Linked DNA regions of Macaca mulatta. Each later gene encodes a partner of the first gene's protein in a complex. Links are inferred from orthologs where the notes say so. Each region holds a gene or a part of one and is shown in the gene's direction. Other genes may lie near its edges.

Region 1 (3,808 bases):
TCTGTAAATCTAAAATCTGATTATGGCACCTTCCCAGTAGTCTCCAACTATTATTAATAGTAACATATTGATCTTTTGTGAAAAACAGAACTGTTTAACATAGTTTACAAATGCCATGAATAATCTCAAAGTAGATTTCCAGCCTTAAACTTTACTTTTCTCCTTATCACAGTCAGCTATACTGAACGTTTTTCAGTCCCTAAGCATATGCACATACTGTTCTCTCTGACCTGAATACTCTTTGCTTCTCCTTCCACCCCTGCACCAGTTCACCTATATAGTAATTTCTGTTCATCCTCAGGCTTCAGCTGCAGAGCCTTCTCTGACCACTCTCCCCATCCACAAGTCTAGGTTAAATACCTCTCATCTGTGCCCATGTAGCACTCTATACTTGCCAGTGTTACAGTTCTTATTAGACTATACTGGCTGAACTTGATGATTAATATGTCTGTATCGTGCATTTTATAATAAGATCTGTTAATAATAGCAGCAGCAGTAACTAATTTATTGAGCACTTATACTTTATATATAACCCAGGTACTGTGCAAAGTGAATATCACTTTATTTTACAAATGAGAAAAACCAGCCAAAGAGATGAAATACCCAAAGCAAACAGTTAATAAATAGCCAAATCAGAATTCTCCCAAGTCTTTCTGACTAGGCCCAGGCTTCTAACCACTATACTATGTTGCCTCCTCCGAACTGTTTTTATGGTTTAACATTGTGTCTACAGCACCTCAGCACACTGATCAGCAGGTAGTAGGCATTTAATAAATGTCAACTCAATGAATGAATGATTGGTAAAACCAATATGAGGAAATAAAGACTTGAAGGTAGATTTTAAAGTATGAATTAATTCATCATCATGGTGGTGTTTAATGGGGAAAGTCCTAGTGGGTTGATGACTTTTTAAAACTCAAAAGAAGTAGAAGCAATGGAGGCATGGGCCAGAAGATTGACTCTGAGGAGAAGAGTAGTGACAAAAAAGACACATATGGTAAGAATGTTTGGTGACAATCTTATTGTTACCAATAGTGACTGATTATCATTAATAAAAACATATTACTTCCCTGCTTTCAACACCTTCTGTATCTGGTATTTACACTGAAATAGCCAAATGGGAGTTTAAGGATGGAAAGTATTAAACCTATTTATATAGGTACGTCTCCTTGGAACATTGGCCAAGTAGAATAGTTTTCCTTTGGTGCTTCTTCCACATCTAGCCTTAGTTATTCAGATTGGATAGATGATATTTGTAGCCATTTTTTAGATGACTGTGTAGGTTAAAAAATATGTGTGTAAGCTTGGTGTCGTGGCTTATGCCTGTAATTCTAGCATTTTGGGAAGCTGAAACAGGAGGATCAGTTGAGGCCAGGAGTTCAAGACCAGCCCGGGCAACATAGCAAGACTGTGTGTCAATTAAAAACAAAAAAGAAAAAATTTAAGAAAAAAAAATGTGTTAACTAATCTGGGGAACAAGCTGTCCCATGGATAATTTTTTTTTTTTTTTTTTTTTGAGACAGGATCTTGCTCTGTCACCTAGGCTGGAGTGCAGTGGCATGATCACTGCTCACTGCAACCTTGACCTCCCAGGCTCAAGTGATCCCCCCCACCTCAGCCTCCCAAGTAGCTGGGACTACAGGTGTGTGCCACTACACCTGGCTAACTTTTTAATTTTTTTGTAGAGACAAGGTCTCACTCTGTTGCCCAGATGGGTCTTGAACTCCTGGGCTCAAGCGGTCCTCCTGCCTCAGCCTCCCAAACTGCTGAGATTATAGGTGTGAGCCACTGCACCCAGCCAAATTCTATTTTTGCAGAATAATCAATTTCCTTTTAGCCTAAATTTAGAGAGCATTTAACATGGCATTTGTTTTATGAAATCAATTTATGTTATCTTCTTTCTAACAAAGCAAATAAACTCTAAACATGGGGTTATTATGTTCATCCAGGAGCATTTCATACTACTGAAGCTGAAGCTAGTTCTCAGAGTTTGACTCAGATATATGCCTTACCTGAAATTCCTCAAGATCAAAATGCTGCAGAATCGTGGGAAACCTTAGAAGCGGTATGTTAAAAATATTTTCTTTTTGGTAGTTGTGAGGCATAAAAGTAACTTCCTCTCCCTTTCTTTTAAAGGACTTAATTGAACTTAGCCAACTGGTCACTGACTTCTCTCTCCTAGTGAACGTAAGTATATAACTGTTTTGGATGCAGAATTGTTGGATTATTAGAATGAGAAGCTTTTATAATCACTAGGCTTTTAATTAGAATTTTAATAGAACTTAGACTTTTAAAAACTGGTATTAAGCCATAGATAGAAGTTTAACTGCTCTCAAATTCCAGATTAATTCAATAAACTTATATTAAGCATTTGTTATATACAAGCACTGTGTTAGATGCTTAACATTGAGGGTGTGATCAGGTTGGATATAGAAATAAATGAAGCCCATTCTCTGCCTTTGAAGATTCTTTTTTTTTCTTTGAGACGGAGTCTCACTCTGTCGCCCAGGCTGGAATGCAGTGGCATGGTCTTGGCTCACTGCAACCTCGGCCTCCTGGATTCAAGTGATTTGCCTGCCTCAGCCTCCTGAGTAGCTGGGATTACAGGCACATGCCACCATGCCCAGCTAGTTTTTGTATTTTTGGTAAAGACGGGGTTTCACCATGTTGGTCTGGCTGGTCTCGAACTGACATCATGATCCACCTGCCTCAGCCTCGCAAAGTGCTGGGATTACAGGTGTGAGTCACCACGCCCCGCCTCCTTTGAGCATTCTACAGTGAGTGGAGATAGGCCTGGACCCCAGAAACTGAGCTTTCAAGCATGATGGCTAAATGCAAAAGCAAGAATGAAGAGAGGTATTATCAGCTCCAAGGAAAAGCCTTTAATTCCAAAGGAAGGAGGCAGGAGTCATGAGGTGGAAGCATTAAAGATAGCTTCACACAGGTAGACAGTATTTGTTTGAGCCTTGAAAAATGAGTAAATGTCCACAGGGGGAAGTTATGGAGTATATTTGAGAGGCTGAACAAAGACATGGAGTAGAGAAGTGTATGGCATGTTCCAGAACGGTAAGTACTGCAGTATAACCAAAGCCTAAGGCACCATGGGCAAGCAAGGTGGGTGAGGGCCGGATTGTGGTGGCTTTGAATGCCATGCTAAAGAATTTGAACTTTACTTTGTAGGCATTAAAAAGCCTAATACTGATTCTTGAGCAGGTTAGAGTCATGAAATTCAGTCTGTGCTTCAGAAAGATCACTGTTGGCTTTGTGAATAATGGCCTAAGAGAAGAGGAGGTCATGGAAAGGAAGACTGGTTAGGAATCAATTGCAAGAGTTCACCTGGAGCAATGACAATACCAGTGTAAAGGTAAAGGACAGCTGAGAGATATTTCTGGGAGAAGTATTAGCAGAAATTGGAGGAAGATGGAGTCAAAGATAAGGAACATTGTCTTTATTCTGCATAATTGGGTGTCAGTGATACTATTAACATAGATTAGGAAGCACAAAGTCAATTTGGTGGGAAAGATAGATTTTCCATCATTTTTCTGAATTGTTCTTATTTGTCTTTCCCAGGAGTTTCTGCTTGCAGTTCTCTCTAGGTTTAGTTCTTTGTTCCTGATCAAACCATGATTTTGGGGTTGTTTATCTTTGAATTATGGTTTCCCTGAAATCTAGTTTTAAATGAGAAGTTCCTAGATCACACAATCAGAATTGGAATGGTAAAGGACTGAAGAGGCCAACCAGTCTAATCCCTCTACTCTTGCCCCAGTGTCTCAAATAAATGGTCTTTTAGCCTCTTTTGGAACAATTA
Region 2 (4,282 bases), on another chromosome or scaffold:
GACCATCTCAAGAAAACAAAACAAAATAAACAAACAAAAAAAGTATTTGTTGGAAAAGTTGACATTTCCTCCTTGGAACTGATATCTTCTGGAATGGGTCAAGAATGTTCGTTCCCTTCTGAATGTCCCTGTTATTGTTCTTCTGTCTTGATAAACACTGTCAAGGAAGAACAGATTTGCTCCGGCCTGGAGCCAGGTTAGTGGAAAAGTCCTTTGCCTTGGGCCCCTGCTCTGGTATACCAGGGCAGTCTTCTGATCACTGATCACTGACTGGGATCAATTACCTCTGTGGTGGTCCCTGAAGGGAAATGCAGAATTGCTGAACTCTGGAAGGGAAGGAGGGGTTTGGTGAGCCCTCATTACAGACACTGTGCTAGTGGCAGTGCACTGCACACGCTATCTTTTTTTTTTTTTTTGAGACAGAGTCTTGCTCTTGTTGCCCAGGCTGGAGTGCAATGGCATAGTCTTAGCTCACTGCAATCTCTGTCTCCCAGGTTCAAGCGATTCTCCCGCCTCAGCCTCCTGAGTAGCTGGGATTACAGGCACCTGCCACCATGCCTGGCTAATTATTTTGTATTTTTAGTAGAGACGGGGTTTTGCCATGTTGGCCAGGCTGGTCTCGAACTCCTGACCTCAAGTGATCTGCCTGCCTTGGCCTCCCAAAGTACTGGGATTACAGGCGTGAGCTACCATGCCCAGCCTCTTTTTGCTTCTTACCAGCACTGTCTGAGCTAAGCATCAGCACCTGCAAACTCCACAGAGGTGAAAAGGTTCACTCAGGGGCCTGTAACTAGTAACCCAGAGCTTTCTGAATCAGAGCCCAGGATCACAGTATTCCAGACTTCAGGGGTTTTAGTGCTTTCTGTCACTGAGGGACCTGAGAACAAGTGTTATCCAGCAAGAAATTTTCATAACTGCATTTTGTTTCCCTGTGAGCCAGGCCTGGCATGGTTGATCTCTGTCTCTAGAAACTGGAGTCAGATATTCAAGACATTAAAAGGAGATGGCTGGTGGGGCGTCATGGCTCCTAGGACTTTGGGAGGTTGAGGTGGAAGGATTGTCTGAGCCCAGGAGTTTGAGACCAGCCTGGGCAACATGGTGAGACCTCATCTCTATTTAAAAAAAAAAAAAAAAGAGAGAGAGAGAGATGGCTGCCCTTTTTAGATCAGGAGGTCCAGCCTCAGGAAACCTTGGAGGGCTGCTTGATCTTTCTTTTCTAATTCCTGAAAAGTTAGAAGACCTTTAACATCTGAGAGCCCTATTACTCTAAGCTTAAGCTCTTGTTTGGGAAGCCACTGGGTGGACAGTGAAGAGTGCCCGCCTACCTGGGGAAACCTGAGTTAGGTGTGGCTGGAGCGACTCGAGATGCGAGGTGGGCGGGGGCAGGCTGAAAGCTGGAGCAAGCAGGAAGTGAGCTGACGGCCACCCTGGGAGGAAGCCGACTAGGCGAATTCACCTGCTGATCGGCCTGGGCTGCTCTGAGACATGGTGAGCGAACTGGAAACTAGGAAAGGGCTGATTTAAAGAGGAGCCAGAAGGGGCTCGGGACTGGGGGTTGGCTGTGTGGGGGGAGGAGAGTTGGCGGCAAAGTTAGAGGGCTGGGCCAGTGCTGCCTGTGGCCTCTCCTCTTTGACAACTTGGCTGCAAATAGCTCTGAACCGTCCTAGCAGGTGTTTCTATTCCTTCTTCCTCCCTCCCCTGACCTCTGTGCTGGTGGGGAGCTGGGCTTCCGTGCCAGTGCCAATGGGGGCTCCGAATTCCAGGCAAAGTGTTGTTGTGCCTTCCTCCTCCAGGGAGCCCGAGGCGGGTGTTGTGACACCACCAGGCAGTGCCTGGGCAGTTTCCAGTTCAGATTCCAGCCCAGCGGCAGGAGCTCTCCTCTCTGGCCTTTCACTTTATCCCTACACAGAAACACAAAGGATTTGTGTGTCCACTGAGTCCTTTGGGTGTCCTTTCTCCATTAACATGAAGAAGAGAACTAAGGGTTTATAAGATAACCAGAAGTTGGTTCTCTGTGATAAGCTAGTTCTGACCCATGCCACTGGCCTGTTTTTGGAGGTCAAGGAGGGAGGAGCTTAATAATATTTTTCTCTCCTTGTTCAAAAACCTTGTCATGAAGCCTCTGAGATGAGACATCAGCCAGGGAGGACTAGTCCTCCATTTCCCCCAACACCCAGGCGGGTATTTTTATTTAATGTCTGCATAAGCAGGTGGTTGCTTGGTGCCTGCGCGTGGTGCCCAGTGGTAGGGAAAGCAGAAGTGTGTGGCTCAACGGCTGTGGGCGCCTTCTGGGGTACTTGGTTGCCTGTTGTTCTGGGTCACAGCAGCAATGGCATTGCGGCCAGGGCCATGCTCCAGCAGGTATTTAGAGGGGCAGATGGGTGAGGCTGGGTGAGGGTGTTTTGCTGGCCAGCACAGACACTTTCAATGAGGATCCCGAGAAATCAGGAAAGGGGGGTGGCTCCGGGAATTGTAAATAGTGGTGGGCTCTGCCCTGGAAAGGGAACATTGTGAGATGCTGGCTCTGCTGTATTCTACGGCCTTCTCTAGGGAGCAAGGAAGCAGCGGGGAGGGATTTAGTGATGCGCTGCTTTTCCTTGTCAGGGGTCCTAACAATCCCGAAAGAAGTTTGATCTAGTCTCTTTAGCATCACGTCTTACCTTCTGAGGCTTACAAATGCATTTATTTTTGATTACACAAGTAATACATGAAAACATTCTCTTTGTAAACATTTCAAGCATTTTACAAAAAGCTGAAGTCTGCCTGAGGCCTTACCCTCCCCAGGCCTCTGAGGCCAAGTCTCCAGTTCCCCCACCACTTGGTCTAATTAACCCCGTGTTGCTGTGCAGGAGGAAGCCAGTGAAGGTGGAGGAAATGATCGCGTGCGGAACCTGCAGAGTGAGGTGGAGGGAGTTAAGAATATTATGACCCAGAATGTGGAGCGGATCCTGGCCCGAGGGGAAAACTTGGAACATCTCCGCAACAAGACAGAGGATCTGGAAGCCACAGTGAGACAGGGAGCCCACTGGAGGCTGGAGGAAAAGAGGAAGGGAGGGAATTTCTTTTTGGTGGGGCAAAATGAACAGGAGGGTCAGAAGTGTAACATTTCTGTTGCCTTTCACCTGGTTTGGGAGCTGATGTGAGCTGAGTCTCCACTTCTGAATCTGCTCTGCTCCACAGATTGTTATGGATCCCAGGGAATGGATCCCATGACTGGGGCTTGAGGTGGCAGCTCACCCATAGAGGCATATTCTGAGACTGATAGCTCAGTCAGCCCATGCATTCTCAGGCTTCTCTCCCGGGAAACTTGTTTTCCCTTTGAAGCCTGCCCATGACAATCATTTGGATCTGACCTTCCCAGGGCAGAAGTATTGGCTTTGAGGAAACCCCCCCACCGTGGCCTCTAGCCTTCTCTAGGAGCTATTAGACAAGGGGTGGGAAATTGCTGGCATCTTGCTGAGTTGGCTTTAAAAAGAAGGAGGAAAGAGCAGAGAAATGCTTTGATCCCAGGGTCCCCTGCTAGATGAAGGCTAAAATAATATCTCCCACACATCTTGCTAGACTTCATTCTTCTCTCTCTCCAGCCAGGGGCTGCGGCCAGCTGTTTCAGGGAGGAAGTAACTCCAAAGTTGAGCAAAGTCTGGAGCCTCAGGTTTTGTGTCCAGCTGGGAAGCTGGCTCTGGCTTTCTTAGTCCTGTGTGAACTCTTGGCTCTTGGGTATTGCTCCCTTGTCTCCCTGGGGCTCATTGCCTGTTTCTGTAGCTTAATTGTAGCTTAATTTGGGGAGCATGGCCCCGGGAATTTTTTTTTTTTTTTTAATAGAGCCTCACTCTGTTGCCCAGGCTAGAGTGGTGCAATCTCGGCTCACTTCAACCTTCGCCTCCTGGGTTCAAATGATTCTCTTGCCTCAGCCTCCTGAGTAGCTGGGATTACAGTGTGCACCACCACACCTGGCTAATTTTTGTATTTTCAGTAGAGACGAAGTTTTGCCATGTTGGCCAGGCTGGTCTCGAACTCCTGACCTCAGGTGATCCACCCACCTTGGCCTCTCAAAGTGCTGGGATTACAGACTTGAGTCACCATGCCTGGACAAGCACTAGGAAATTTAGTGTCTATAACTCGAATTGCTGGGCATGGGGAAGAGTGCATGGAGGAGGAGGAGTTCCCTTACTTCCAACCCTCTGTACTGTCCTGGTCCCTCCTCCAGCCTCAGCAGTCCCGATGGGGCAAGGAGTCCTGTAGCTGGGAGATGTGCCCACCTGGAGCCTGCATCCCTCAGTCC

Evidence for each region.
Region 2: the proteins of STX17 (region 1) and VAMP8 are in contact, whole or in part, in a crystal structure (PDB 7BV6), measured with the Homo sapiens proteins. The link is inferred for Macaca mulatta from reciprocal best matches to the Homo sapiens genes STX17 and VAMP8. Residues at the interface, in NP_060389.2 of Homo sapiens: Ser171, Trp172, Thr174, Leu175, Asp178, Leu179, Glu181, Leu182, Leu185, Val186, Phe189, Leu192, Val193, Gln196, Glu198, Lys199, Ile200, Ser202, Ile203, His206, Val207, Ser209, Ala210, Asn213, Val214, Glu216, Gly217, Thr218, Asn220, Leu221; in NP_003752.2 of Homo sapiens: Gly9, Val13, Leu16, Gln17, Val20, Glu21, Val23, Lys24, Met27, Thr28, Asn30, Val31, Ile34, Leu35, Arg37, Gly38, Leu41, Glu42, Leu44, Arg45, Thr48, Glu49, Leu51, Glu52, Ser55, Glu56, Phe58, Lys59, Ser62, Gln63.

Annotation. Positions count from the first base shown.
Region 1 is NC_133420.1:58,439,410-58,443,217, reverse strand, and holds part of STX17 (syntaxin-17), read left to right. Parts: intron 1-1,949; coding exon 1,950-2,065; intron 2,066-2,136; coding exon 2,137-2,187; intron 2,188-3,808. UniProt on the Homo sapiens protein: SNAREs, soluble N-ethylmaleimide-sensitive factor-attachment protein receptors, are essential proteins for fusion of cellular membranes.
Region 2 is NC_133418.1:38,814,524-38,818,805, reverse strand, and holds the start of VAMP8 (vesicle-associated membrane protein 8), read left to right. Parts: upstream 1-1,469; 5' UTR 1,470-1,485; coding exon 1,486-1,488; intron 1,489-2,849; coding exon 2,850-3,008; intron 3,009-4,282. UniProt on the Homo sapiens protein: SNAREs, soluble N-ethylmaleimide-sensitive factor-attachment protein receptors, are essential proteins for fusion of cellular membranes.